3 linked regions of the Caenorhabditis elegans genome follow. The protein of the gene in region 1 purifies or fractionates together with the protein of each later gene. This does not show direct contact. Each region holds a gene or a part of one and is shown on either strand. Other genes may lie near its edges.

Evidence for each region.
Region 2: the proteins of chil-5 (region 1) and C25E10.10 fractionate together in Caenorhabditis elegans (co-fractionation; one large-scale study listed by BioGRID). This does not show direct contact.
Region 3: the proteins of chil-5 (region 1) and rfc-1 fractionate together in Caenorhabditis elegans (co-fractionation; one large-scale study listed by BioGRID). This does not show direct contact.

Annotation. Positions count from the first base shown.
Region 1 is NC_003280.10:9,855,269-9,865,260, forward strand, and holds chil-5 (GH18 domain-containing protein), read right to left. Parts: upstream 4,408-9,992; 5' UTR 4,364-4,407; coding exon 4,308-4,363; intron 4,260-4,307; coding exon 4,111-4,259; intron 4,067-4,110; coding exon 3,980-4,066; intron 3,930-3,979; coding exon 2,842-3,929; 3' UTR 2,752-2,841; downstream 1-2,751. Other genes in the region: chil-4 (GH18 domain-containing protein), read right to left, coding at 42-131, 176-318, 367-422; chil-6 (GH18 domain-containing protein), read right to left, coding at 668-1,755, 2,203-2,292, 2,337-2,485, 2,534-2,589; chil-3 (GH18 domain-containing protein), read right to left, coding at 4,600-5,687, 5,827-5,883, 5,947-6,095, 6,150-6,199; C08H9.18 (uncharacterized protein), read right to left, coding at 6,771-6,797, 6,846-6,893; chil-1 (GH18 domain-containing protein), read right to left, coding at 7,163-8,250, 8,701-8,814, 8,860-9,008, 9,057-9,103.
Region 2 is NC_003283.11:9,050,885-9,060,450, reverse strand, and holds C25E10.10 (TIL domain-containing protein), read left to right. Parts: upstream 1-4,097; 5' UTR 4,098-4,132; coding exon 4,133-4,135; intron 4,136-4,187; coding exon 4,188-4,245; intron 4,246-4,290; coding exon 4,291-4,363; intron 4,364-4,405; coding exon 4,406-4,482; intron 4,483-4,531; coding exon 4,532-4,617; intron 4,618-4,662; coding exon 4,663-4,759; intron 4,760-4,859; coding exon 4,860-4,975; 3' UTR 4,976-5,125; downstream 5,126-9,566. Other genes in the region: C25E10.13 (uncharacterized protein), read right to left, coding at 18-175, 631-700; C25E10.16 (Prohormone-3), read left to right, coding at 1,013-1,073, 1,125-1,307, 1,847-2,016; C25E10.11 (INSulin related), read left to right, coding at 2,119-2,147, 2,195-2,244, 2,555-2,802; Serine protease inhibitor swm-1, read left to right, coding at 5,619-5,621, 5,669-5,717, 5,778-5,848, 5,899-6,183; C25E10.8 (TIL domain-containing protein), read left to right, coding at 6,519-6,521, 6,571-6,622, 6,686-6,756, 6,802-7,089; spi-3 (TIL domain-containing protein), read left to right, coding at 9,379-9,381, 9,439-9,566.
Region 3 is NC_003283.11:14,638,322-14,650,261, forward strand, and holds rfc-1 (Replication factor C subunit 1), read right to left. Parts: upstream 7,659-11,940; 5' UTR 7,531-7,658; intron 7,481-7,530; 5' UTR 7,425-7,480; coding exon 7,391-7,424; intron 7,335-7,390; coding exon 7,267-7,334; intron 7,221-7,266; coding exon 7,116-7,220; intron 7,073-7,115; exon of another isoform or gene 7,066-7,072; coding exon 6,297-7,065; intron 6,248-6,296; coding exon 5,928-6,247; intron 5,875-5,927; coding exon 5,566-5,874; intron 5,451-5,565; coding exon 5,053-5,450; intron 5,000-5,052; coding exon 4,483-4,999; 3' UTR 4,346-4,482; downstream 1-4,345. Other genes in the region: F43D2.7 (CX domain-containing protein), read right to left, coding at 628-769, 951-1,141, 1,191-1,250; C54G10.1 (uncharacterized protein), read left to right, coding at 2,780-3,061; pmp-3 (ATP-binding cassette sub-family D member 4), read left to right, coding at 8,432-8,480, 8,869-9,161, 9,212-9,351, 9,741-10,257.

The sequences.
Region 1 (9,992 bases):
AGCCTTAGGATAGCACAAAAAAGAGCTTAACATAAACTTACTATATTTAAACAGTTGTTTCGTTGTAGGCAAATTTTTTTCTGTCGTGGTTTTTAATTTTTTCGATGAAGGAATGAACACTCTTATCAAATCTATAAAGTTTTTAATTATTAATTTACGGAATAGCTCCGCTTACTTGAAACTGTCGGACTTTTATGACGAGCCACCATTATTAACTTTGACAATGAAAATGCAATTGGTGCGGATAACACTAAAATTGTTATCAAAATATAACAATGCTTGATAAAATTTTTCCATTGACGGTTGTTTTTTTGTGTTCTGAAAAAGCATGATGGAATTAAATTAGAGACAATCAAACATACTTACATGTTTTGATTTCTTAAAAGAGGGACACTTGTTGAGTTCAAATCAGCAGGATTCATGAGAACAAATTTGAATGGTGGAATAGTTTCTGAAATATAATTTAATACCTGTTTCAAAGGCGTGTTATAGAAATAAAGACAGTTCAAATGAGAGAGGAAACAAGTATCGTATCTGATTAATAACAGAACTAACGAATGATAATGATCAGACGTATATATTAATGATTTATCCAATTTTCAAGTTATTGAGACATTCATTTTGAACGGGAACAACAGAAAAATGAATTTGAAATAATTACATTCACTCATTCACACTTGTATTTTATCGTATTCTTCTCATCTCCAGTGCATAATTCAGCAGAAGATACAACTTTCAAAAGAGTGTGATCATCATCATCCTGATCAATTGTCCACATGGTTATTCCTCCAATATTATGATCAGCAACATATCGATTTTTTTCTCTCAAACTTCTTTCCTCTTCTAATGTCATAAACCGGGTAGGTGGACCAGGAATCCAAATATATGAAGTTTTCGTTAGATTATGAAATTTAATGTCGGTCAGGTTCCAGTTGTATTGACGTAGTTGCCTCCGAGGTAAAGCAATTGGTAATCTTCCAGAGTTGTTATCTTTCCATATATCATCAGAATCATCACGTAATGGTAATTCGGCGCCGTTCCAATATGTTGCGTGGAACGAGACAATTATATTGAATTTACTTGGCTGTCCAGATTTACAAATGTAATACTTCATATTCTCATCGACGATTCTGCTTCCTCCTCCGTACAATGGTGAGTCTGGTCCAATTTGATTTAAAAAACTATTAAACAGGTAAATGTTTAAAAAGTCGACAAAATTTGAGAATTCCACCAAATTAGATAAATGGTTGACATTCCTGGAGATCACTAAACTAATCACAAAAGTTTCTTTTCTATTCAATTTCTTTTGGAGTTCCGTGAATGCGTATCGAAGTTCTCGAATAAACATTAAATAGTTGTTCTCATCGCTGTATTTTGGCCATGTCCAAAATATATCGACTCCATCTATATCGTAATTTTGAACAAAGGAGACAATGGAGTTGGTAAACAAATTTCGTGACGTTTCCTTGGACACCAATCCCGAAAATTCACCAGAGCTATACTGTCCGCCTATGCTGATCATTACTTTTAAAGTACTGCTTTCCTTCCTTGCTTCATTTTTCATCGCCACAAATTTTCGGCGAGAACTTTCATCGCGAAAAGTTAAACTTCCATTTTTTGGAATAGCAAACAGGTAAATAATGTGTGTTAACATTTGCAGTTGTTTTTTTGATAGAGGAGAGTTTTCGAATTCTGCAAAATATCCAACAATTCGCTTTCCACACGATGCAGCAGGAGGAGAAACTTTTTCATTGCCTGAAAGTAAAAATTCTGGGAAATTGCGTCTTATAAGCCCACCACCAGAGATGGCAAACCGGACGTCCGGTTTTCCAAAGGTTTTTTATTCTGATTTTCCAGCAGTTCCCTAATAGTAAGTTAGGCATCAAAAATATTCTAACCGTTTCTAATTAAAAATTGACTTTTGATAAGGTGTGGTCATGATGTCAGAAAGATTTTTATGTTTTTGGTTTTTATTACAATTGGCAGCTTAATGCACGTCTTAACCTGACTACTCTGAACAGATTAATCAATCCTATACCACAATAGAGAAGCTACGTTCAGTTATACAAATGAGATCTATGTATGCTAGAACTACTAAAGACGAATTATGGGAAAAAGGTTACTAAATCGCTCACACCTACACTGTCTTTCTTTTAATATAATCAAACTTCAGAGTGGCACACAAAATCGCACTATACTTACTTTTTTGAACAAGTTTTGTTGTAGGTGAATTATTTGTTTTCATCGTAGTTCTTGATGTTTGCGATGATGGAATAAGCATGTTAATCAAATCTAAGAAGGTTTTAGATATTAATTTCCGAAACAATTTCTCTTACTTGAAACTGTTTCACTTTTATGACGAGCCACCATTATTAACTCTGATAATGAAAATGCAACTGGTGCTGATATAACTAAAATTGCAATTAAAATCAAGCATGGATTGATGAGATTCTTCCATTGCGCAAAACGGTTGGTTTTTCGTGTTCTGAAGAAGCATGGTCGAATTAAATTAGAGACAATCAAACATACTTACATGTTTTGAATTCGTAAAAGAGGGATACTTGTTGAGTTCAAATCAGCACGATTCATGAAAACAAAATTGAATGGTGAAATAGTTTCTGAAATGTAATTTTATACCTGTTTCATAGGCGTTCTATAGAAATAAATTCGAAAAAACTGAGAAAGAGAAAACAAGTATCTTATAGGATTAATAACAGAACTAAAAATAAGATAATGAGCAGAAGTAGACATATATTAATGATTTATCCAATTTTCAATTTATTGAGACATTCATTTTGAACGGGAACAACAGAAAAATGAATTTGAAATAATTACATTCACTCATTCACACGTGTATTTTATCGTATTCTTCTCATCTCCAGTGCATAATTCAGCAGAAGATACAACTTTTAAAAGAGTGTGATCATCATCATCCTGATCAATTGTCCACATGGTTATTCCTCCAATATTATGATCAGCAACATATCGATTTTTTTCTCTCAAACTTTTTTCGTCTTCTAAAGTCAAAAACCAGGTAGGTGGACCAGGAATCCAAATATATGAGGTTTTCGTTAAATTGTGAAATTTAATATCGGTCAGGTTCCAGTTACGTTGACGTAGATGTCTCCATCGTACTGCAAATGGTCCTCGTGCCACGTTTTTCTCCTTCCATATATCATCAGAATAATCACGTAATGGTAATTCGGCTCCTTCCCAAAATGTTCCGTGGAACGAAACCATTATATTAAATTTACTTGGCTGCCCAGTTTTACAAATATAATACTTCATTGTCTCATCGATGTTTCTACCTTCTCCTCCATACAATGGTGAATCAGGTCCCACTTGTTTTTCTCGAAACTGTGTTGAATAAATATTGAAAAAGTCAACAAACTTTGAAAAATCTTTCAAATCGAATGACCAGTGTTTCTCTTTTGGAACAATTAAACTTATGATATATTCGTTTTTCCTATTCCACCTTTTTTGAAGTTCAGTGAATGCGCTCCTAAGTTCTTGAATGAAACTTGAATAACTTTTAATATCTTCGTATTTTGGCCGCGTCCAGAATATTTCGATTCCATCTATATCGTTTTTTTTGAAAAATGAGACAATCGACTTGACGAAAACGTTTCTTGACGTTTCATTAGACACCAAACGCGAATATTCCTTATAATAATCATGCCCGCCTACACTGATCATCACTTTTAGAGTAGAGCTTGCCTCCCTTGCTTTACTTTTCATCTCTTCAAACTTTCGGCGAGTTTGTTCTCCATCGAGAGTAATAACTCCATTCGTTGGTCTAGCAAACAGGTAAATAATATGGGTAAGCATGTGAAGTTGTTTTCTTGATAGTCCAGCGTTTTCGAATTCTGCAAAATATCCAACAATCCTCTTTCCACAAAATGCAGCAGGAGGAGAAATTGTTTGATGGCCTGAAAATGAAACCTATGAAAAAATTAGGATCCCCCCCCTGGATACTCACTTTCCTGAATCAAATGTTTCGGAGGAGAGTTTGTTTTTGTCGTAGTGCTTAGCTTTTTTGATGACGGAATAAATATTTTTATCAAATCTGAGATGTTTTTAGATATTAATTTCCGAAACAATTTATCTTACTTGAAACTGTTTCACTTTTATGACGAGCCACCATTATTAACTCTGATAATGAATATGCAACTGGTGCGGAGAACACTAAAATTGCAATCAAAATAAGACAAGGCTTGATAAGATGCTTCCATTGAATTAGGCAGCTTATTCTTCGTGTTCTGGAAAATCACTGTTAAATAAAGTTACAAGCGATTAAATATACTTACATTTGTTGATTCTCTAATAGAGGGGCATTTGTTGAATTTGAAGGAACAGGGTTCATAAAATAAATAATTTTTAGGAAAAAATTAGTTCCTGAAATAACCTGTTGATTTTTTTAAACTTGCCCTAAAAAGTCAAATCTGAGGAGGATGGTGCAAGTATGTCATCAGATTAACAATGAGTGTTTTCCAACTATCAAAAGCCATCAGTAACAGTATGAGGATTTATTTAACTTTCAACATGTTTCCCAAAAAGCTAATCAAAGAAGAAATTAAAATTAAAAAAAAAAACACTAAATCAATCACATTTGTAATTAATCTCATTCTTTTCCTTTCCAGTGCATAATTCTGCAGAAGAAACAACTTTCAAAAGAGTGTGATCATCATCATCCTGATCAATTGTCCACATGGTTATTCCTCCAATATTATAATCAGCAACATATTTAGTTTTTTCTCTCAAACTTCTTTTGTCTTCTAAAGTCATAAACCAGGTAGGTGGACCGGGAATCCAAATATAAGAGGTTTTCGTTAAATTGTGAAATTTAATGTCCTCCAGGTTCCATTTCTGTTGAAGTAGCTCTCTCCAACGAACAGCAAATGCTCCTTTTGTCAAGTTTTTGTCTTTGAATATATCATCAAAATCATTCCGTAATGGTAATTCGGCGTCTTTCCAAAATGTTCCGTGGAAAGAAACAAATATATTAAATTTACTTGGTTGACCAGTTTTACAAGTATAATACTTCATTGTCTCATCGATGTTTCTACCTTCTCCTCCATACAATGGTGAATCAGGTCCTACTTGTTTTTCTCGAAATTGTGTTGAATAAATATTGAAAAAGTCAACAAATTTTAAAAAATCTTCGAAATCGAATGACCAGTAGCTCTTTTTCGGAACAAGCAAACTAATGATGTACTCGTTTTTTCTATTTGTCCTTTTTTGAAGTTCAGTGAATTCGTTTCGGAGGTCTTGAATAAATATTGAATAGTTATTCACATCTCTGTGTTTTGGCCACATCCAAAATATTTCGATTCCATCAATATCTTCATTTTTGACAAACGAGACAATGGACTTGATGAACACGCTACGTGACGCTTCGTTAGACATTATCGCCGAAAATGCACCAGAATGATCATGTCCGCCCACACTGATCATCACTTTCACAGTAGAGCTTACCTCCCTCGCTTTACTTCTCATTTCCTGGAATTTTCGGCGAGTTCGTTCTCCATCCAGAGTCATAACTCCATTCGTTGGTCTAGCGAATAGGTATATAATGTGTGTTACCATTTGGAGATGTCTTCTTGTTAGACCAGAATTCTCAAACTCTGCAAAGTATCCAACGATCCTCTTTCCACACAATGCAGCAGGTGGAGAAATGGTTTCATTGCCTGAAAACTGAAACTCTGAGTATCGTCAACTGAACCATTCACGTGATAACCATCACTGTTCATACAAAACGGCACAAACGCAATGTGTTCTAATACAACGGTTGCCAGTCACCAATAGGTATTTTTAAAAATGGCTTACTTTTCAGAGCATGCTGTGAAGTTGTAGAATTGTTTAACATCAAAGCATTAATTGATGCTGGAAAGATGACTTTTTTAAGTTTTTCAACTTAATGTTAAATTTCAAAATAACTTTACTCACTTGAAACTGTTTGACATTTACAACATGCCAATATGATTAACTTCGAAAATACAAACACAAATGGTGTGGATATCAATATAATCGCAACAAGAATCACACAAGGCTTGACAATATTTTCCCCTTGAGTTAAAGCGCGGGTTTTTAGCGATCTGGAAATACATAAAAGGAACAAGGAATGAATCCAACCGAAACAATATACTTACAACTTGTGATATTTTAGAAGAGGATTATAGGTTGTATTCAAAGAATTCATAGTGGAAACCAACTTCTTTGAATAACTGAAATTTTCTTAAAGATGATACCTATTGGTTAATATATACCATTTTCAAGGCGTGTTAAAGAGGCAAGGTTAAATCAAAAAAATAAAACTGAGGAAGAGGAATCAAGTATCAAACATGACTATAAACGGGGTTCAACCAAACTAAAGATAGAAAATCAGCGATAATACATTCTGACTTATTTAATTATCACAATATTTCCCATCAGTAAGCCAATTACAAAATCGAAGTTGATGGTTGGTTTCTGAACGGGCCCTTTTATAATCAGGAAAGTACTGTAAAATATGTGATGGAAATTCAAATCAAAAAGTTCAAAATACTGCATACACATACATATGATGTTTCTCAAAAAACTCAATGCAGCCTAGGGATGCTGCACAACTATTCGTATCGAGATCCCAGCACAGTTGCATTGCATTGTAATTGTAATTGATGATGATTTAGTAATGTGCAACACATTTTTTAAACTTACGTTATGTATCAGCAGTCGACGTATGTATTTCCAATAGAAATATTTGTTCATATTGAACAATAAATTCCCGGGCGCTATCCAGAGTTAAGCGGTTGATTTTGCTGGAAAATACACATTAAAATTAAACTAAAACGGTTACAGAAACTCACAATTTTTGATTTCCTATTTGTGGAAAGTGTCAGAGCAACAGGGTTCATTTCAAAAACAAAATTGTTCGAATAGTAAGATGTCTATATTTTTCAGAGACGTATGATAGAAACTAAAGCAATTAAGAAAATAATTGAGAATGAGAATACAAGTATCATATCTGAATATTAACAGAACTAAAAAATAATCAACAGCAATGCACAATGAGGATTTATTCGAATGACAATATATTTTTATTATAGATCCAAATATTTGTTCGAGGTTTGATCATTCCCTAGTTGGGGATCCGTGTTTGACTTTTAAACAAAGATTAATTCACTCAATGACAATTGTATTTAATCGTATTCTTCTCCTCTCCAGTGCATAATTCAGCAGAAGATACAACTTTCAAAAGAGTGTGATCATCATCATCTTGATCAATTGTCCACATGGTTATTCCTCCAATATTATGATCAGCAACATAACGGTTTTTTTCTCTCAAACTTTGTTCGTCTTCTAAAGTCAAAAACCGGGTAGGTGGACCAGGAATCCAAATATACGAAGTTTTCGTTAGATTATGAAATTTAATGTTCTCCAGGTTCCATTTATGATGAGGTAGTTCTCTCCAACGTAAAGCAACTGCTAATCTTCCCGATTCGTTAACTTTCCATATATTATCAGAATCATCACGTAATGGTAAATCGGTGCCTTCCCAATATGTTGCGTGGAACGAAATAATAATATTAAATTTACTTGGCTGACCAGTTTTACAAATATAATATTTCATAATCTCATCGACGTTTCTACTTCCTCCTCCGTACAACGGTGAGTCTGGTCCAACTTGATATGAATAACTATTAAACAAGTAAATGCCAAAAAAGTCGACAGAATTCAAGAATTCCACCAAATTGAATAATAGGTTGAGATTGCTGGAGGCCACTAAACTGATCACAAAATCTTCTTTTCTATTCAATTTATTTTGGAGTTCCGTGAATGCGTAGCGAAGTTCTTGAATAAACATTAAATAATTGTTTTTATCTCTGTATCTTGGCCACATCCAAAACATTTCGATGCCATCTATATCGTATTTTTCAACGAAGGAGACTATGGAGTTGACGAACACGGTACGTGACGTTTCATTAAACACCAATCCCGAAAATGAACGAGAATTATAATGTCCGCCTATGCTGATCATTATTTTCAGAGTAGAGCTTGCCTCTCTTGCATTACTTTTCATTTCCTCGAACTTTCTAAGAGATCGGTCATCGACAATAGTTATAACTCCATTCCTTGGAATAGCAAACAGGTAAATAATGTGTGTTAGCATTTGAAGTTGTTTTCTTGTTAGACCAGAATTCTCAAATTCTGCAAAGTAACCCACGATTCGTTTGCCACATAATGCAGCTGGAGGAGAAAGGGCTTCATTGCCTGAAAACTGAAAGTCAGAGTATCATTCACTGACGTACAAACAATGAATGAATATTTGGACGCAAAGTTGTGTTTTCGGAGTCAACATTCTCATAAATTCTTTTGTTTTGTTTTATATGTGAAGACTGGCGGCTTCGTGATTACAATTTGACGGCACATCAGCTTATAAGATTTCAGATTTTTGTGTATTATTTCATATTTACTTTATACATAGTCATATTGTTCAGAAAACTCAAGAAAAGCACCTAAAAACTTGGCTAGTAAAAATTCAAGCAGTTACGTTTTACTATTGAACATCTAGCAGTGGACAAAAAACGTATGAAAATCAAAATGTCGAGGTATACCCGCATAATTAATAAATTGATACTCAGTAATGAAAACACGACCTAACCCATCAAGTTAATAACCTCATATCTTTCAAAAAAAAAGGCGCGTTCAACAGATACTTACTGTTCGGGGCATCCAAAAGTGGAGGTAGACCAACATATTTTGTCGCAGTAGAAGATTTTGTTTTGATCATAGTTCTTGATTTTTTCGATGATAGAATAACTATTTTTATCAAATCTGAAAAAAAATGTATATATTAATTTTCGAAATAGTTCCGCTTACTTGAAACTGTCGGACTTTTATGACGAGCTATCATTATTAACTCTGACAATGAATATGCAACTGGTGCGGAGAACACTAAAATTGCAATCAAAATGAAACATGGCTTGACAAGATGCTTCCATTGAGTTAGGCAGCTGGTTTTAGGTGTTCTGAAAAATCATTATTAAATTATATTTCAAGCGATTAAATCTACTTACATATTTCGATTTTGTAGAAGAGGACTTGTTGAATTCAAAACATTCATACTAAAAAAAAAGAAACTTTAGATGACATCAAGTTTCTGAAAGGTGATGTTATAAAGGAAGAACGTCAAATAAGAAAAATAAAACTGAGGAAGAGGAATCAAGTATCTTATCTGATTAATAACAGAACTAAATAAAAACAATCAGCAGCAACACACGGTCAGGATTTATGTATTCAACCGATAATGTTGTTTTACTAGTGAGCCAAATAATTAATAGAAGTTTTATCATTCCCTAGTTGGGGATCTGTGTTTGACTTAAAATTGATTAATTCGGTCAATCACACTTGTATTTAATCTTATTCTTCTCATCTCCAGTGCATAATTCAGCAGAAGATACAACTTTCAAAAGAGTGTGATCATCATCATCCTGATCAATTGTCCACATGGTTATTCCTCCAATATTATGATCAGCAACATTTTTCTCTCAAACTTTTTTCGTCTTCTAAAGTCATAAACCAGGTAGGTGGACCGGGAATCCAAATATAAGAGGTTTTCGTTAAATTGTGAAATTTAATCTCCTCCAGGTTCCATTTCTGTTGAAGTAGCTCTCTCCAACGAACAGCAAATGCTCCTTTTGTCAAGTTTTTGTCTTTGAATATATCATCAGAATCATTCCGTAATGGTAATTCGGCGTCTTTCCAAAATGTTCCGTGGAAAGAAACAAATATATTAAATTTACTTGGTTGACCAGTTTTACAAGTATAATACTTCATTGTCTCATCGATGTTTCTACCTTCTCCTCCATACAATGGTGAATCAGGTCCTACTTGTTTTTCTCGAAATTGTGTTGAATAAATATTGAAAAAGTCAACAAACTGAAAAAAAAATCTTCCAAATCGAATAACAAGGATCCTCGATTTCTTTTTTGGAGCAATCAAACTAATTATGT
Region 2 (9,566 bases), on another chromosome or scaffold:
AAAAGGGTATAATTTTATCATATTTGGGTAGAACATAATGGTTGAGTTGGACATGTTTTTCCAGGAATACATGGAGGTGCCACCGTTCTGCATGAGTTTTGACCAAAACACTTAACATCTTCACAACTCACGGGGGCAGCATTGATTCCTAGTAATTCTCCCAATGATGGTGTTACTGAAAAATTGTAAAAAATTCAGCTTTTGCACAGTTTTAAATTTTATAAAACCAAAAAAATTGATCAAGATTTTATATTATTTTTTTTGAAAAAAACAATTATTTTCCATTCGAGCAGTTCAATCTGAATACAATTTTTAAAAGGAATTTTTTGAATTTTTAAAATGTGGATACGTAGAATGCTCAAAATTAAATGAGAAAACCATCAAATTAATCATTGCTTCTAAATAAAAAATAATATTCAAAAAAAGACATAACACGTCAGGTGCATATATTATTCACAAACGATAAGTTTTAAGCGCTTTCTCATGGCATTCTGATTTGTAATAAAGCGTCGGTTCACATACACATAAAAATTGAGTGCAAGCGGTTCGAATCAGGTTCATGTTTATGAATATATGTTTAAATAATGTCTGACTTTTGAATAACTAATTAATATTGATTAAATAACTTACCTTCTGCTTTTACGCCAAGTAGCATTAATATCCCAAGTGTAACAAAAATGAAACAAATTTTGAAATGCATTGCCAATGAACAAGAAATTTCAAAACATAACCCATTTTACCTACTTTTGTGTCAGTCTTCACACCCTCATATGACCGATACGCGATCATCTTTATAAATCCGTATACAGTTTTGTTAATCCTTTTTAGTATTTCATTTTCTCTACTTGTTATTTACGTCTACCGACAAAAAAATTTATTTAATTTAGCCGATAAGGTAGGAAAAATCAAATAATGCCAGAAACTTGATTAATTCGTCTCCAATTCTCCATACCAACCCACATTCCGCCTGATATCCCGACGACGGGCATTTTTCGTATTCATTATATTATATATGACTACCAGCTTTCTCGTTTCAACTTTTTGGTTGCTAGTGTTCTATTTTTTGTATAAAGGTTTGTTTTCAGTAAAGGTGACTTTATAATTGAATACTACACTGTTTTCAGAAGCTATGTGTGAGTTGGATGTGTGTGAAGGAGTGACTTGTTATGGTGATGCGATTTGTCATGAACATAAACTAGCTTGTTTTAATAAAACTTCTCCTGATTGTTTTATTATGGTGCCAGAATGCTCAGATAAAACCATTGAAGATTATGAACGAGAAAGAATTGATTCCAGAAATGTTGAACGTAAGAAGTTGTTTTATTGATCAGTCAAGATTTATATTGTTGCAATTGAAACTTTCATGAAACCGATAATTTTTCAACATACAGCATTTAGTAGTATATTTTATTTCAAAATCTAAATATCATACTTCCTCTGTTAATCTGGCATGCAATGTCATTTTTTTGATCGGTTCGTAAATTTGAAAGAAATAAAGACTGTAAGACTGTAAGATAAGAGGCTTCAAGACTAATTTTCGAATGCCCCCTCGGAAAAATGAGCGAAAATTGAGAAAATGTGATTTGACGTGAGTTTTCACAAAGTACGGCACAAATCAGTGCAAGACTGATAGATGAAAAACGATATTTGTCTTCACGGCCTTTCGAGTAATTTAAGTTTCCTTTCACTGTTTTTCAGAATCGTGATCATGTTTATTGGTTGAAGACAAACTGCAAATAAATTACCAAAAAACACGTAGTTTTCATCACTATGAAATGGGTCATCGAAATAGGCCTAAAATCCATTTTTTTTAAACTATTTTAATCACGGATTTTATTTATTTCAGTACTGGTATCCAAGCCAGACTATATGAACTCGAATGATAAAGACACTCTCTGCCAAGGTATCAATTGTTTTGGAATGAATACTTGCACAATTGTCCGAGTTCCTTGTATAGATGATCCAACCTGCATTAATTATTTACCATTCTGTGATGACTCTCCACTTACAACATAAACCTATAATTATTCAATCCTCGTAAACATTATGAGGTTTTTTTTCGATGGTGCTACCTTAATTTTTTTAAAATTTTCCTTCAACCAATATTTTTTTCTTAAAATGGCATCCTTTCGAGCAATATACATATCGTGAGTTCATTTCGATTATTTTCCAACTTCAATATTTAAACTTCCAGGGTGACTTTAATGTCTATAGTCATCATATATCTCAACTCGTTCGCAAACGGTAAGCATTTCTGTAACAAGATTTATTCGACTGGCCAAATCTGTAGTGATGTTTTATGGCAAACAAGTGAAATATAAATCTTGTATCATTGCAAAAAAGTAACCAATAATAAAACTATTCCAAAAATTTGATTCTTGGATGGTTTTTACTTTCACTTAATTATATTTTCGTTGAACAAATTTTGAATGTTTTTTTTTGTTTGCTCGAAAAACTTCTGATTTAATTTCTGATTGGCTTCAGCTATTACTTATGACTTTATTTTACATTTTCCAAAACACGCAGTTTTACCACGACTAACAAATAATTTCAGAAGACAAACCCAGATTGGCTCGGGAAAACCGTCCCTATACTATTCTCAGTACTCATTTAAATTTGAAAGATTACGATCGGCTTTGTTTGAATGGACCAACAGTGAAATGTTACGGAGAGACAGTTTGCAAAGTTGCAAAAGTAGAATGTCTTCCAAATAAAACATGTGATCCGTTGATGGCAATTTGCTCGGATAAATCTTTCGAGGACTATCAAGACAGAAAATTCAATTATACTTCTTCTCGTTAGGCACATTTCCTTTTATTTTTCGTAGTCACGCAATGCATTTTCCCATGTTTTCCTTTTTGATTGTTTTCATTCACTTCAGTTTATAGAAATGAAGTTACTTTTTCTGTTCTGTTATTTTATATTTCTGGCTAAATATTCACATTCACAACTACCAGATGCATGTGACTTTGTAACATGTTACGGTCAATCCATATGTATTCCTGTGCCTATTCCATGTATTAACAAGCCATGTCCTGTTGGCCCCGCTTGCAAGATTTTTGCATGTCCAGAAGGAAGCAATCCAAGAGATCATTCAAATTGTATTTTGCTAAAAAAATCGACACTGTGATGGAATTTTGTGAATTTCATACAGTGTAATAAATCAATTTTCAAATGTCAGAATAACCAAACGATTTCTAACAAACAATGCCAAAGTTTTTATATATAAGCTTGAGGGAATTGTCAAGAAGTTTGTAGACTTGCCAAAACTTGTACTTGAATAATCAAAAAGTTATTATCTGAAAGCTTCTTTTAAAAAATTTTCGACGGAGCAAACTGTTTTGAGAGCAAACTAACCACATAAACGTGTTTAAAATTATCAATTTTCAATAGGAGACTTCTCATAAATGAATTAGATTTAGGGGTATTGGAATTATTGGAACTGGAAAGTACCGTGTTTTATCTATTAGAATCACACCTATTGTTCGACTTTGGCAGCTGATCAGCGTATCTCAATTGTCGTTTGTTCTAAACAAAGATTGTTAGCTGACAAAATATTTATTGTTTGTTTCTTTTACTATTTTTTTCACAATTTGGAAACAACGTTAAAAATTTTTGAACGGCTGTACACAGTTTTTGAGTATTTTTGCGAGTTATTTTTATGAAGTTTCTGGCTTTTGGAGCTATTTTGAATATATTCAAAGCCCATCCCAGCAGTTAATCTTCTGTTCCAACAGTCTTGAGTTTTTGCTTGTATATAATAAAAATACTCAAATGGGCAACTTTCATAATAAGACTTCTCAAAAAAATTGCATAATTTTTGAGATTTCTCATTACCAAAATTTTGCCTAGGGCGCATTTTGAGTCTATTCAAGCAAAAACCGAAAACAGTTACTTCTTTGTTCTTCTCAGGCGTACTTTCGTAGAAAGTAATTTTGTAAATAACATATTTTTAAACTTAAAAAAACAGCACTCAAGAAATATTCCGGTCGGCTGAACTCTCTCCGGTCTCACCAAGTCATTAATCTTTTGACTCATCCTCGGTCTCACGCCTGTCAATTTTATTTCAATGATTGCTTCCTTCTCATAACTTCCCCACTCCGAAAGTTTCTTCAGAAATTCTTTCATCAAAATGGTGAGTGGTTTTTTCTTCATATCTTACAACAAATGAAAGTGTGTTTTTTCAGAATTTTCAATTATTTATTTTCTTTGCTCTTCTTGCTTTTGCTAGATCTGGAGTTCTTAGTGAGTACCAAGGTTTTATTTAAAAATCAAATGACTTATTTTCAGAAAACACAGAAAACATGCCCATTTCTCACACAGACGCACTCTGTGGTTCTATCAAATGTCCTGATAATTATAGGTTTTAATATTTCCAATTATAAATTTTAAAATATTTTTTCAGATGCGAACTGCCAGTCAGTGACTTGGAATGTGGTTCTGAAGACGATTGTTCAGTTGATCCAAAGTGCGTGCCAATCCGTAAGTGTAGTGAAACCAAAAATATCCAGTGGTTCTTGGAAACTTCCAGCAATCCGCAAACCGGAATGTGAGGGCGATGAAGAGCTCAAGGCGTGTGGCTCAGCGTGTGAACCGACATGTGATAACGAGAATCCAGTAAATCAACGTTGAGATTATGTATGATCATAAATTGTTTCTCAGGAATGTGATTTGGTGTGTATGACAAACGTCTGCCAGTGTAAGAAAGGACTCGTCAGAGACTCGGCAACTGGAAAATGTGTGGAGAAAAATAAATGCAGTAAGCTTCAAAATTTATTACTAGACTTTAACCAATTTAACCATCAGTGATTATTCGCTGAAAACCTGCACATAATACTAGTCATAAATTTTTCATTCAGGCAAATGCACTCTTGAATGCTCTGAGAACGAAAAATGTGAACTTGTGGAGCTGACTTGTGAGGAGAAACCATGCCAAATTGTGGACGTATGTGTTGCACAACATACCACTGAATAATATTTTCGATGATTAAAAAAAAAGTTGTTTTTCTCATATTTTAATATTGATGTTTTCATGCTAATGTTTTCAGAAAATTTAAAAATAACAATATTCGAATTTTAACATAATATTTGTATTCCTTTTCAATAGCCAAAAAACTTATGAACTATTCCGTGTTGCAATACAATGAATACAAAAAGTCAGTGTTAACCAAACAATGTTAAGTTGGTAATTATGGATGAAACACATTCGAAATACTCTCCAGTGAGCCAAGCCAAAACTATTTGCACCAAGCGATACGTTTTAAATTGATATCTTCTAGTGAATTGATTCATTAAAATCATTGGTCGGAATGAAATTTCGTAAGGTTCTCGATTTAATGTGTTTCTGATTTTTTCTGAATTTTCGAATACAAATTCTTCGAGATTTTTAAACCTTTGTTGTGAGCCCAATTTACAAAATAAATACGTGACCGGTGAAAGATAAATTTCTCTCCAAAAGATTGAGAAGACCTATAATATCTCCCATTCGATCTTATCATGTTTCTCGTATCATCCCTTCCGAAAAAAAGGGCGGTTCTGCCGTTTTTTAGTGTTCCGGCACAATAAATAGAGCCGTTAAAAAGCAAAACATCGGTTGGTTGCCCTTCGTTATTGTGAAAATGGTGAGTTTTTGAGTTTTTTTTCTAATATAAAAATTATACACTTACAGAGGATACTTGTCATAATCACATGCATCGTTGCTGTTGCTACCGCCACAAGTAAGTAAATATATGTGATTTGGTACTTGAACGGTTACCAGATCATAAATATTTTTTTAGAAACATGTGAAGCCAATGAGGAGCTGGTATCGTGCCATAATACATGTGAACCACAATGTGGATATACCCCTGTAACAATTAACTTAATGTGTCTCCCATTACTGAAAGTTTCAAAATTTAGAAAGCTTGCACGGAGCAATGTATCATGAACACATGTGACTGTAAAGACGGATTTGTTCGTAATTCTCTTGGAAAATGCGTCGAAGTATCTGAATGCACCAAGGAAACTACAAAATGCCCAGAAAATGAGACATTCTTTGGCTGTGGAACAGCTTGTGAAGCAACTTGTGAGAAACCAAATCCAACAGTTTGCACTAAACAATGTATCGTCAATGTCTGCCAATGCTCCAAAGGTTTCGTTCGTCATGGACTCAGATGCATTGATAAGAAAGATTGTCCAAAATAATTTGTTTTTGAGTAAACATTTCCAAGTTCAATAAACCATCAAATATTGGAAAAAATTCAAAAAGAAGTGTGATGAAGGAAACTGGAGTTGTGTGCTATTATTGATAACACAATTGTTACATCAGTATTATTTTTCCTGGCATGAAAAACTAAAAAAAACTCTGTTTGATCTTTTGGATTTATTGGTCATCGTTTTTTTTCAATGTCTATGTCTCTGGCAAACAAAAGGGCGGTTTTGATAGACTAGAGTCCTCTGCGTGATTTAGTGTTCTCGAACAATAAATAGAGTCATTTCAAAAGAAAACATCAGACTGCTGCATTACTTTTCTTTCTGTGATGGTTCGTTCTTTTTTTCATTAGAGCAATGCAAAAACTAATGAGTTTTTAGAGAACTTTTGTCATAATTGCCTGTTTTATTGCTGCTGCGACAGCTGCCAATAGTAAGTTTATTTTTAAATGATTATTGTTAAATATTTCTGGAAAATAAACATTTTACTTTTCAGAGACATGTGGAGCCAACGAGGAAATGGTTGCATGCCATGATCACTGTGAGACACAATGCGGATACACTCCAGTAATCTATAATTTTCCATGTTCTCCTATAATATTTAATTTTCAGAAAGTGTGTCTATCTGCTCAATGTATTGAAAACGCATGCGACTGCAAGAAAGGATTTGTGCGTAATTCACTTGGAAAATGTGTCGATATTTCCACCTGTACCAAGGAAACTAGCAAATGTCCGGAAAATGAGACATTCTTCCGATGCGGAACCGCTTGTGAGCCAACTTGTGAAAAACCAGGACCAAGACCATGTACCAGACAATGCATTGTAAATGTTTGCCAGTGTTCCAGTGGTTTTGTCCGAAACGGTTACAGATGCACCGAACTCAAGGAGTGCCCAAAGTGAACATTTTGTATTCACATTTGTGATAATAAATCGTTGAATTTCATATTCTGAGAAAAACCAACAAATTGCCAAATAGAATAACATTCGGTTACCATGAACTGGAAAAATGGAAACGAATTTATATTTCTTTTTTGGAACAAAACACAAACAATGCCGTGATCGTGATATCATTCCGATGGAAAACTGTGTCCGATCGGAGTACACAAAGTTTTCGTTTTTGGGTACAGATTACCTCACTAGAGTATTGAATTTCATTTGGTCTTATAGGTTCGATGCTACACACAAAACTTTTTTTAGGATTGGCAATTGTTGTTTCATAAACATTCCAAAAGCGACAAAAACAGACAGTTTAAATGTTGGCATCATATATTTTTTTGGAAAAAAAATTCGTTAAAAAATGCGTTAAAAAATTTAACCGTGTGGCAGAGCTGAGCTCATCCCCTACTTGGTTTCTTAATATAGGAACATACACACAAAAAACAAATAAGAAACTTAAGCAAGGAAATTATTCAAAAAAAGATCAATCATTCTTTTGTAATGTCTAGGTTAGAAAATGTCGTAGACGCTTAAAACTTTTTAATTCAAAAATCACGATTCTTTTACAGCAGCGTTTTTTCCAGGCACATTCTGGAAAATGAAAGACTACGCTATTTTACGTGAGCATTTGCAATTGTTTTCTACCTCGTAAACATAAAAATAATCACATTCATAAATACCAATAGGTACGCGTCAGAAAGGTTCTGCCAATTTCTGCACAATATCATTTGTCCCAGAAAAAATTTGGCAAAAGTTATAGGAAATTAATTTTTCCCTTTACTTTATATTTTTGAAACTTTTGACTTTCGACGCCTTTGTTAGTTTTTCTATTTAAACACATGACGTTTTCATGCCGTCATAGTATTTCGCTCATTATTTATAAACACGTTAATTATTGAAATACACATCTGACAATGCTCGAGTCTACAATTTTGAACCTCCGAGTTTGTATTTTGTATCAAATGCATATACTAAGAAATAAGTATGACAAAACATAGTGCGTAACTGAATGTCTCAATATTATAGTTCACTACAATATTACTTCAAAAATGAAACGAATTCAAATATAATATATACGTTTAGGTCTATACTATTTGAAATGCCAAAAAAACGTTTAACTTGACCTTTTCAATGACGCTTCAAATTTCACACCTACCGATGCGCAAAAGGAAATAGATTTTCGATGATGCAAAAAAGTGAGAGGCTCAAATTTTTTTTCGAGACCGCCGTCATTTTTGAATTGAACTATGAAGTTAAATAACTGCGTCTGTTTAAGCCCGTTAACAAAATGTATATTTTTTGTTTCGGGACTTTTGAGTTATACCTTTCTGCCAAAAAAATCGAATCAAAACTTTGATTTTAAGAATGCACTTACTTCGAAGTTAGAAAATTTCATGAGCAGATTTATTCGATATTCTGCGTTACCAAAAAAGTATTACGTACTTTCCATAATTATACATAAAATTTACGTCAATAAGCTTTTTGCACATCTAAATTATTGAGACCCGTTTTGTCTTCCGAACTTGTATCACTTTTCACTGAATTCCGGTACGATTTTACTAAATTACTTTTCAAGGAATCCATTTTATGCTGACATTTAGCAGATCATATATGATTTTTGAACGCAATTCACCTGTCTAGTTTCTAGGTATTTTTTAAACTAAAGTTTTCCCGTTTGACTGGTATATAAGCTCAGTTTTGGAAACGGTTTTATCAATAAAGTTATTTTTACATTTTTTTCAATAAAAAAAGTTGTTCTGTACTGAAAGCTTAACATCACATATTCAGTATTCAGATAATGCAATTTTATTCTAAGCCATACCTTTTATCATTTCTTTACAGTACTTCTGTTCTTAGAATCAAATTCAGTGTTTTCAAAAATACCTTTGGCAAAAGGGAAATAGAATTTAGTTTCTTCTTTAGCCAGTATTGGTGTCTTAATAAATAAATGTTCATTTTCATTATAACTTTGTGACTTTTCAAACAAACATAATGAATGTGTGAAGTTATGAGATGTGGCTGAAACTCATTCTAAATTTCCAATTCTTGAATATCTTTTCCCTCTCGTTTCAAATGAAAACCTTGTCATTATCATTTCATTTCTGGCTGATTTCCATTTATAATTATATATTAAAGAACGTCTTTTTCACTCTTCCGGTAACTACTTGAGACCGCCCAAATATTCGCTCAGAGTTCTCCGTCGTTCACTTTTCAGTCTGTTCATTGTCCAACACGGAAAATCTGCAAATAACAATGGTAAGCCTGCATTACATAGTTAAAGCATGTGTTATTCATCCGAGTATTACTTTTCAGAAGACTTTCTTATTTCTCAGCTTTTACTTAAGCATGGGATCAGCCACACAATGGATCACACCAGGAGCCCCGTTTTTACCAGAATGTGGGAAAAACCAAAAACGAGTGGCTTGTGGTTATGATTGTGA
Region 3 (11,940 bases), on another chromosome or scaffold:
GGGGTCCAGTTCGAAAGGTAGATCAAAAAATTAAATATGAGAAAAAATTCAAGACAATTCACAGATTTTTTAAATGTTTTAAGGATTTAAAGATATGTTTCAAATAAGAACTAAAATTTCAAAAACATTATATTCATTAATTAATTGTAAGTCAGTGATAGAAAATTGATCTCAGAAATTGGTGAAATGATTAATTCTCAAACTGTTCGACTGCAAAGAGTACTTCTGCCAAGAGACATAGCCGCAGCAGAAGCCAGAAGTAGGTGAAACGCTTGGTGAGCTGCAAAGGCTGTAAAGGATTGAGATGGATATAAATTTTATTGTGTGATTTTTATTTTGTTCATTTATTTATTTCTTCTCAATTATTAAAAATTTCAGAAAACAATCAATTACAAACAAAAATCTATATATCAAACAAACGATTGAATATGTAGTGGGGAGGAATAAACTAATTATTGACCGATTGGAACAAGTCCGTGGTCAAATGTGGGTGGGGGTGGGTGATTTTAAAGTGTGTGTGGGATTGTTTGTTGTTTTATCTTTCACAACCTACACAGCAAGAGACATGATTGGAATTAAAAGTGTGTTTGAAAAGTGTGTATCATTTTCAAGAAATCTTAGCACTTCTTAACTGTTGACATGTTGTTGGTATCTGTACTGCACACTGTCATAACGTTGCGGAATACAACAGCGATAAAGCCAGCAGAAGAAGGAAAAAAGAATTGAGATTACAATAAAAGATATCAATCCGATAGCAATGAAATTAAATCTGAAAATATATTTGTTTGGTTGTTTTGGTTATTTTAGAAATTTTCAAAGTTGTAGGTTTTCTTGACTGTTTAAAAGAAGAGTGCAAATGACGATTAGTTGTTTAAGTGGCTGGCGAAATAAATTATTTTAAATTCGATACGTAGTTTAGTGATATTTCAATCTCATTTCAGAAAACGTACGGGCAACCGTTTTTATTCGGCCTATATCTGTCAGCTTTTGGCATTCCCTGCGTTTTAAAATCAACATAGCGATCGTTTTTTTGAGGATGTTCATTTTCTTCAATGCCACAACAATAATACCTCACGAATGAAGAGCAACATTTGATGGCACATTCAAGTTCTTTTTCAATTGAATTTTTTGGACATTTGACCTGAATTAACTATCATTCAATACATATGTTAATATTAAACAAAACTTACATTTGAATTGGCGAAAATGAATTTTCCAATAAAATATAAAATTATAACCCAGTATTTCATGATCTATGATGAAAAAATATATATAAACCAATAGATCGTAAAACTGCCAAGAGATTGATCAATTTCTTTTTAAACATTGAGAGAAACGTACAGTTTCTCGAACATACGTAGTTTGTAGCGTTTTTCAAACAAAAAAAAAGACGAATAGGACGGTCTTTAGAAAATTGGATTTTCCGATAATTATCAATCTACAGTGATACCAAGAATAAATAGACGCTATAAATACAATTTCAACCATGGCAACATTTTCATGTGCATTTAAAGTTAAACTGACCAGTAAAGCTTCAAAAAAGAAGGGCATTAGTGGTCAGTTTGAAACTGTGTGTAGCCTCATCAAAATGGCAACTATTTTCAACTGAAATCAGTACTTTTCAATTGCATCCTACGTCTTCCTGTGAAGCTATTAAATATTAAACAACAAACAAAACCCATCACATAATTTATCTTAGGCTTGCCTAAGCTTTCATAGCGAAAGCTTCAACTGCTAAGAAGACTCTTGCCAAAAGACATGGCGGCAGCAGAAGCCAAAAGATCACTATTTTAAAAGACTCTGAAACATTCAATGAGCCATAAAGGCTGAAAGGATTGATATGGAATTCATTGACCATTGAAATACAATTGTATTGCGTTATGTTATGCTTGTTGTTTGATCATTCATAACTTACACAGGAAGAGTCAGTATAATAATAATAATAATTTATTACGTTCTTGAAGAAGCGTGGAAAGAAAAGAAAGATGATACATACAAGGTTCATGTCGGAGGGTGGACTGGGAGATTATGAGCATAGTGAAAGAACATAAGGCGTAGAAAAAGAGCATGAGAAGAAGCAGGATAAAAAACAGGAGAAATCATAGGAAAGTGAAGAATGACTTGTGTCTAAAAATCTAGTACGGTTTTAGTTGAAAATATTTCAGTTGTGTTGATAAGGCTACATCCGATTCTTGGTACATAAAAATGAGGGTTTCAACTGGAACTAGTTTCTGTCAGAATTTATCAACCTTTTGAATCATCCTAGCCCTTTAATCTGATTCTAAAACATTCATTTTAAGATGTTGCATGTTTATCGTGTATCGCTTGCAAGTTGGAAAATAATAATTTGATCATTGTACCAAATTGGTGAATTTTCAATTTTGTGAAATTTTGAAAAAGGTCCGATTTGTCGAAGTTTTTCATTTTTTTTCCGGGAACCTGCCGTTTTCCAAAAAAAAAAGTTAGCACCCATCCCTGACTCACTCATTTACTAGTTTTCATGAAATTCCAAATTATTGAACTCACATCTTAAAAACTGACGAGAGACGGGAGAAGCAGACATATATAGAAATGAATGCATATGTTTGTTGCAAACCTTTGCGGTATCACAGTCTTGAATCACTCTGATCAACTGCTCACTCGCTATTTCTTATCAGTATTTTGTTCTTGCTTCTCGTTTCACATGTGTAACTCTCACCTATTTGGTCATTCAACGCTTCACGCCCACTTACGTGGTAGACTGTTTACCATTTCGTCAGTTTCTATCTTATTTTTGGCAATGCCAGACATTTCCATTATCCTACTAGGCAACTATGCTCCTGATCAAGTTATTCACGCCCGCCTTCTCTTCATGAGAATGGAACAAGTTCCTGGAGGACATCACCTCCAGATTTTGCAGTTCCGATTCACTATTCCTTTCCGCCAAGCCGACTTCTGCTCGCTGGACCAGAGTGATGTAATGTGCTCCGAGACACACTGCTACTACCTTATGAACTTGAAAGTGGGAGCATTCTTTGAGACCGCTCAAAATATTCTAATGATAAGATGGCTATTTTCATGAAGATTTCCATTTGAATCAACTGGAAGGTGAGAATTTGAAAAATTATATTGAAAACTAAAACGAATATTACCCAGAAGAGATAGCAGTTTTTGCACCAGAAATACGGTACCCGGTCTCGACACGACAAATTTTTGTTAAATTTCAAAAGGTGTGCGCCTTTAAAGAGTACTGTAATTTCAAACTCTTGTTTCTATAGAACATTCATCGACTATTCATAGAGTTTCTCATGGGTTTAAATTTTCAATAAATGCATAGTTTATCGTAAAACTTTGAAAAATCGCTGAAAATTCCGCAACAACAAAAGTTTGAAATTACAGTACTCTGAATTTAACAAAAAATTGGGGTGCCGAGACCGATTGGCGCAAAGGCGCACCGTTTTAGCTGGATCTGTCTTCATAGCTAGACACACAATTTGTTTTTTATTGAAATCTTCTAGAGCTTTCAGTAATTGTTGAAAATATGTGCCCAGAGATGACGGTAAAATCAGAAAGTTTTGTCAAGGAGAATTTTTTCGCTGCGATACCCATGGGTGCATTTAATTTTGTGTTTCAGATAATTGCGAAATTACGATAATTCCTTTACATTTGTTTCCAATTGAAACTTCCACAAAACAAGGATTTCATAATTCTAACTTTTCAGGCCACAAAATCGCAGTGCAACATCTTTCCTGCTCAAAATAGTTCCTGCTTCCTCCTCCAGTTCTATTCTTCTTTTCTCCATTTATCCATATTTCTTGCTTAGTTTTTCTAGTCCACTCCCACGTGGTATCAGGTTGTCACATCACGGTTTGATCTACAAAAAAATGCGGGAATCTTTTGCCCAAAAAATGTGACGTCGGCACGTTTTTAACCATGCAAAATTAGTTGAGAACTCTGCGTCTCTTCTCCCGCATTTATGTAGATCTACGACGTTTTCTACGTAGATCAAACCAATATGGGACACTTTGACACCACGTGCACTCCATTACCACATTTTCTATGTTACAATCCCTCCCGATGCTTTCACAATTGCTGGTCCAATTCCCTACGATTTCATTCCTTTTTATGAAAGACCACTATATCGCGAAATTTCGTGGTTCATCCAGTTTTCACAACGATTCTATTGTCTTCAATTTAGTCAGAGTTGATTTCTCTTTCAATGCGAACTAACTTGACAAATATAGAAAACAGTTGTGAATATCTCAATGATCTTGAACGAAATTTTCAACATTTTTGGCAAAACCATAATACGTTGTCCTCCTGGTGCAAAATGACTAAAATTAAATTGTTTCATCGTGCTCAAATAAATCGTTGTAACATGATTTTTTATCCAGTTTTTAATAGTTTTCCTGCAAGAATATCTGCTTTGTCGAAATAGTGATCATTCAAGAGGGTTTATTGCAAGTTTACGGTAATAGTTAGAATAATACTGGACATCTATAATCATTTCTTGCTTCCTCTTCCTCCACGAGCCCGACCACCACCACGTCCACCTCGAGCAGATTTTGAAGCTCCGGCACCTCCACCAGTCCTAACTTTAATAACAACATCAGTAGTTTTCTCCTCGTTATCCTCATTATCGGATTCTCCATCTTCATCTTCAAATTTCTCCACTAGATTTCCTTCTTCGTCCATTTCAATTCCAATTGAATTCACACCTCGTTTCTTTCCTTTTGACACAGAATCCATCGAGTATGGAAGCATTCGACCAGTCTTGTTTAGAGTTCTAGTCAATGATGCTTTCACCTTACTCAAAATTTTACTAGCCGGATCAATTTTTCCAGGCCAAGCAACAATTTCTGTGAGTGCTTCAGTGTCGTCTTTGATGAGATCGTATTCTGTCATTGTGCTGATCACATCTGGAATTCCATCAGCTTCATGTTCAAGAAGTGGTTTCGTTATTTTCTGACGGAGCATTGGAGCATAATCAGTGGCAAATGAGTGAGTACCAGCAGAAACTCTGAAAGTAATAAATAAATTCCTAATTCCCATAATGAATTTAGCGTAACTTACTTGAGATGTGTGTGTTGAACCAGTTGCTGAAGCAATCTCTTCCGTTTTCCAGCTGTCGAGTTTTTTCCCAACCACGATGGGAACTGAATCATTGCCTTCAAATGTCCACCAGTGGCAATCGCTGGAAGTGCAGCAGAAATCATGCTCTGCTCATTGAGCAACTTCCAGGATCCTCCACCACGAATTTGCCGATCAATAAGGTCTCCAAGGGAAATGAAGTCTGCAGCTTTTCGTATTCCACGGATCGCTTGGATTGGACTATGCTTTTCATTTTTCATATTGAGATAATTATCCTGGACGAAAAGTGGCATGATTCCATAGTCAGTGAAGAACATTTCCTGCTTTTCCATTAATGTCGTACGAGAATCCAGGAGACGACGAGCCGCCGAGAATGCATCCTGAAAATGTTGTTAAGATTTCAGAATTTGTATAACCAGGCGCAAGTTTCGTATCGAGACCAAGTACCCCATTTTTGGCGCGAAAATCGCAAAATTTCACGGCTAGGAGACCTACCACAGCCATATCCTTCTGGTTGATCTTTGCTCCAACTCCCTTTGACCTCATTTGCAGGTTGTAAATTGTTTGCCGGACGTCATGACCGGATAACTCGATAATTTCGTCCAATTCTTCTTTGCCAATTTTCATTTTTTCCTGAGAACAGATGGTCATCATCCGAGAACGAATAGTCTCGACACGTGGCTTTGGAAAACGAAGATCATAGCAATAGTTGGCCAGTGTACGAATTTTCGGATGCTGCCGGTCATTACAAATGCAAATAATTGGAATTTTAGACTCCTTGATAATTTGGATGAGCTCAGAGATCTGTAAAAATAAACATTTGAATATTAATATATTAGTTCTTCATTTAAACTCACACCAGCTCGATCCTCATTTCCAGACATTCCGTCGACTTCATCCATAATCAGGATATGATGAACCTTTTGATTATCTTGTGGAGCACACTTTTTCGCTCCGAAAAACTGCTCAATTTGATGAGAACCAGAGAGTTCGCCAATTTTCGCTTCGAGATGTTTCTTACTACGCACATCTGATGCATTCATTTCGACAAGTTGAAGGCCCAGTTGTTGACAAGCCATATAGGCGCATGTAGTCTTTCCAACTCCAGGAGAACCCGATAAAAGAGCTGCTTTGAATGATGTACCATCTTGAGATGACATCCATGGAGCTGGTTTTGCTGAAAATTGCCGATAATATTATAATAAAATAGAAATAAAATTACTTACGCTTCTTAATTTTTGCCCCTTCGCCAAGATTGTGTTTTGCCCAGTCTTTAATCCATTCCAAAAGCTTATTAATTGGGCTTTTGTCTCCATTCTGGCCAACAAGTTCTCCCATCCTTTTCGGCTTATACTTATCAACCCATGAAAGTGCTGGGGGTGGCCCACTTGGTTTCGGTTGAAAAACGACTGATGACGTGGAAACTTGACTCGACGAAGATGACTCGGAGGTTACTTTCGGTGGATCTTTTTTCACTGATAACGCCTTTTTCTGTGGAGTTTCTTTTTCTTTTTTGACAGGAATTGATTGCTTCTTTGGGAATTCTTTTTTGACAGAAGGAAGCTCTTTCTTTTTCGGGGTCTCCTTTCTCTTTTCAGGTGTCTTCTTTTTCACAGTAATAGGAGTGAACGTGTCAAAACTATCATCAGAATCTACGAACTCATCGTCCGACACTTTCTTTGTTTTAGTGTTTTCTTTGGTCGACGGGCTGATCTCCACTGGCTTCTTAGCTGGCGTTTTTGGTTTTTCAACAGTTTTCGGAGCAACTTTTGGAAGTTTTGATGCAGATGGCGCTGGTGAGTTTTTGAAGAAGTCTGCGGGATTCACTAATGTTTTTTCGACTTTTTTCTTAGGATCATCACGTTTCGAAGATGACGAAGAAGGTTTGAACATATAATCCAGCGTTTTTTGACCAACTGGTAACTCCTTTTTTCCACCCTTTCTTTTCTTTTTTTCATCAGTTCCGCGCACGAGCTCGTCTTCGTCAGAGGTTATCTAAAAGCTAATTATTGCGATATTTCATGGATATTAGAGTGCTTTCTCACATCGCTCTCTTCTTTTTCTTGCTTTCTCGATCTTTTTGGTGCAGTCTTTTTTTGAGGTGCATTTTCTTCTTCTTCGTCGTCATCGGTTAGTACTACTGGCTTTGTCTGAAACATTTCTCAATGAGGGTTCAGTTCACATGAATTTCCGAACCCTTTTTTTCGCCGGTGTCGCTGCCTTCTTTTGCTTTTCCTGGGTGAATGGCATATCATCATCGGAATCTTAAAAAAAGAAATTTCGTAATACACATTTGCACAGAATGCAATTTGTTTTTTACCCGAAGAAACCACAATCTTTCTTTTTGTACTCATTTCCTTTTTTGAGGCGATCTTCCGTAAATGTCGAGGGATTGGATTCTCTCCGTCGGCTTAAAAAATATAATTTTTGTTGGGGATTAAAAACTATAGAAAGGCTTACAAAAATCGCCAAAATCTGGGTGTATTTTCGTAATTTTCGGTTTCGAAAAAACGATCGAAAAGCAGGAACAATCTTGAGGAGCCAAAATGAAAAAGAATGAAAAAAAAAGTTTTAAAATTTAAAAAACTGAGCGGGAAAAGCAAATTCCAACAGAGCGTATTTGCATTTTTGAAATCGTGCCGAGGCCTTATTCGGCTTATTCGTAATGTCCCTTTAATTTCTACAGTATGAAAATTGCAATTTATTTTTCATAAATTTTTAAGATTCCTTGCTATTTTCCGTTCAAGAAATTCGTTACATATCTTCCCGATTTTTTGTTGATAAAAAATTAAATTCTCGTCTTATTTCAACTCAAAGATCCTATATAAAACTGATAATTCTCCTCGCACGAATCACGTTATAAATCTGAATATAAAATTCTGAATATCAAAGGGTCCTCATCTTTCCCCCAAAAAGTGCCCAATGCTTCCCCGCCCATCATTTTTTTCTTCATCGTCTGCGTTTGCAATCTCTCTTTCCGCTTGCCTCACTTTCTCCTGTCCCCCACTCTCCTCGTTACACTGTGTGCGGACGCAAATGTATTTGCGTGTACAGCTGACCGAACTTATTCCTGCAAAACCGTCGAAAACTGAAGCTTTTTCTCAAAATATTCGAATCATTATAGTCTGTTTATTTATGTTTGGAACATAAAATTGTAATAATTTATGCCGAAAGCTTCATTTTCTGTTTTTTTTTCTGTAAAACTGAATTGTTATCAATGCACAAAAACTCAGCAGCACCTTGAATAGCTTTTGTTTTTTAGTTTTGTTTTGATCGTCGTTATCTCTATTGTTATTGTAAATATAAATTATGTTTTTGCATGTTCACTCACAGCCAGCTCTTTCCAGATTGCACATCCCGCATGGAGTCGGATCAAGAAATTCAACTGGAAGAAGTACGAACAGAAAAAGGTGATAATCATTATCCATTTCTGTTCTTCATTGTCCACGTCTCTGTGCTCATTTCTTTGTGCTCTTTTCAACGCCTTTATCGACCTCATTTGGTTTGAATGGGATGGTATGGCCGGCCTACGTTTCTTTTCTTTTTTGTTTCGGATTTGAATGGTGTTTGGTTGTCTTAAATATTCTCCTTGAAACATTTTAAATTCCAGAAAAATGCTTTGTTTTTTGCTCCGGTTGATCTCAGTAGAATTGTCCAGTCATAAAAAAAGCTTCAAGTTTGTCTAAAATCTCCACTGAAATTCACTATTTTTCTTGAATTCAACTCCACTCCTCCTCTTCTTAATGTCTATTTCTGGGGCATCTTCTGAAAAAAGCCTTCCTAATCACAAAATTTCAGGTCGCAAAAACGCCTCGGCCCAAAATCCGGTCAAAATGGCCAGATTGGCCCTCGACTTCCTCTTCTTTCGGAGGTTCTGGCGTCTTCTTAAAATCCTGTTTCCATGTCATCGTCGATCGATAACCGCGTGGCTCGCCGGAGCACTGCTCATCGCAACTGCTCTCGATCAAGTAATGACGTATTTAGTTGGAATCCAGCCAAGTCTGTTCTACGTGGCACTGGGAAACAAGGATGCTGACACGTTTAAAATTCTGTGTGCACGGGGAGCCGCGATTATTCTTGGAAAAGCTTTTGTAAGATCGAAATTCGATATTTTCTCATCCTAATTAGCGTTTAATTTCAGACATTAGCAGTATTCAAATATCTTACAAATATGTTAGCGATCAAAAGTCGTCAAGTATGTAATCTCACGATGCATAGGTTATATTTCAAGAGACAAGCTTTCTTCAAGCTATCTTCTTCTGGGGATATGCTTGATAATCCGTAAGTTTTTTATATAAATTAATTTTATAAAATCAAATAATATTTTACAATTTTTCTTTTAATTGAAAAGCTGACTATGAGTTTTTAGATTTTTCGCTTAATTTGGAAAAAACCAAGTTAAGCTAGAATTTGAAATTTGTTCAACTTGTCATTGTCGCAACAGCTAAAATACAGCTTAGAATAAAAATATCATATTTTATTGCTGTTTATTTCGCGTTAATTTGTTGATATAGGCACATTATAACAATTAATAAAATTTGATGCCTTAAAATGCGCGTACCAACATGTCAACACAAGATTTAACGATCAAAAATTTATCGTGATAATTTAATTTTGAAAGGAAAAACTTTTCTCTCAATTTAAATTATTTAAATTCGATATTTTTCCAGAGATCAACGTCTAACCCAAGATATTGAAAAAGCCACTCGAATCCTTTCCAATGATCTTCTAGCTCCAATTGCTACAGCTCCATTCATAATTGGATATTACACATGGCTAACTTATGAAAGTTCCGGTTGGATTGGTCCCGCAGCGATCTACACCTATTTCTGTATCCAAACAATTATCAACAAGATGATTTTGTCTCCGATTGTTCAAAAAGTATCAGAACAGGAGAAAATGGAAGGAGATTTCCGACAAAGACATATGGAAGTTCGTTCGAATGTCGAAGCAATCGCCTTCTATCGTGCTGGTGTTCTGGAGAATATTATGACGAATCAAAAATTAAAAAATTTAATTGAAACTCAAAAATCGCTAACTGAATGGAGAATGGTTCTAAACAGTATCACGAATGTTTTCGATTATTTCGGTGGAATTCTTTCGTATCTTATCATTGGTGTTCCCGTGTTCATCACTCATCTCTATGACGACGTTTCACCTGCAGAATTGAATGGAATTGTTTCACGGGTAAGTTGTTTCTTTTCAAAAAGATATCTGAAAAAAAAGATGCAAAGCTCAAAATTTGATCATCGATGTTTCGATGCAATTCGATACTGATAAGAAGACAAAAAGCAAAAAGTATGCAGAAAAAAATGTAATAAATTCTCGTCTAAATCTGTCTAAAATTAAAAACAAAATGTTCAAAATCGAGCTAAATTTTAAAAAAATGTTTTAAAAAAATTCTATTAATTAAAAATCTTTAAAATCTCTGAAATATTCATTCAAAGGATTTAAATTTTAATTTTAATAGTTTAATTTTAAATTTCTAAAATCATGTAAAAAATGTTTTAGAAATCTAATTTTTCATCGAAAGACTTTTTTATGCCCACTTTTGAAACTTTCATCTTCCTGTCACTTTCCAAAGTTTCGATAGAATTTCCTGATTCGTCTCCTGACGCGGCGGCGAGCGAGTATTTTCTTTTCATTCTGACTCTCGAAATCTCGACACTGATTGAGTCAATTTCGCATGCTCTAGTGCATTAATAATGGATGCTAGTTATCCGTTTCACATTTCAATTCGTATCGTCTCTCTCTCCCTTTCGTCAGACTGAGATTTCTGGTTGTTCCGGATGAGGGAACGATGCCAAATGAAACCAAAGTACCTGGTCGTTGAAGTGGCCATCATTATACTCTTAAAAACAAGCTGTTGTTGCCGCCTTAGTTCAGAACGACATCTGGTCGTAGTAACTAGTGAATGAATATCGAAGAAAAAAGCATTTTGTAATGGGAAGAAGAAAATGGAAAACAGAAGAATACAATGAGTTGGCTGTTTCCGGTGTCGCTGAGTCCGAAAATACTACTTTCGACTTTTTTTGAATATTCAGTAAATCGAGGACTATAATCATAAAAAATTAGAATCTATCAGGTCACACTGGCATTTTGGTGTCTGTTCAATTCAAAGTGATTGGAAATTGTGTTGATCTTATGATTGTTCATTGAGTTGAGCAATGCAGTGAGCACTATAATCATAACAATTGAGCAGCTTACTTCGGAAGCGTCCTATCATGTTTCCTGTTTCCTTTTAGTTAATATTGAAATTGTTCCAAACTTTTGATTGCTCAATGAGTCGTGCACTATAATTAAAACAATTCAGAAACTTTGACAGGAAGCATCCTATCAACTTACAAAAAAAGAAAAGAAATGTTTAGAGTTTGAAAAACCAATGGAAATGTGATATCTAGGGCAAGTGAACTGAAATCTGTCTTACGGGATCTTGTGGAACGGGTAGTAGTGACTTGAAGATTTTAACTTTTGTCGAGATCCGATCGTCGGTCTTTCTTCAAAAAATCTAAGATCATTTCAAAGGATCCAAAATCACTAATGCATCCATTTTTGTGGTGCTCGTCTCTCTTTCTTTCAAGTGTCTTGTCACCCCGGGAAGCAGATGGTCGTTGTTCTGAGCAGCAGTTGAACTGCAGTCACAAGACAACACAATCGGCACTCCTTTTTCGTCTCTTCTTCCAATTCCTTCCGTCGTTTTGTTGCCAGAAGAAGAAAAGAAAAGAAAAATGAATTGGGTGATGGAACAGAGGGAATGTCAGCTGACTCTTTTGGAGCATTTAGATACAATGTGATGATCTCATCAATGCTCTTTTTTTTAAATGAATGATGATGATTAAACTACAAGAAGAAGAGGGGAGACAAAAGAAG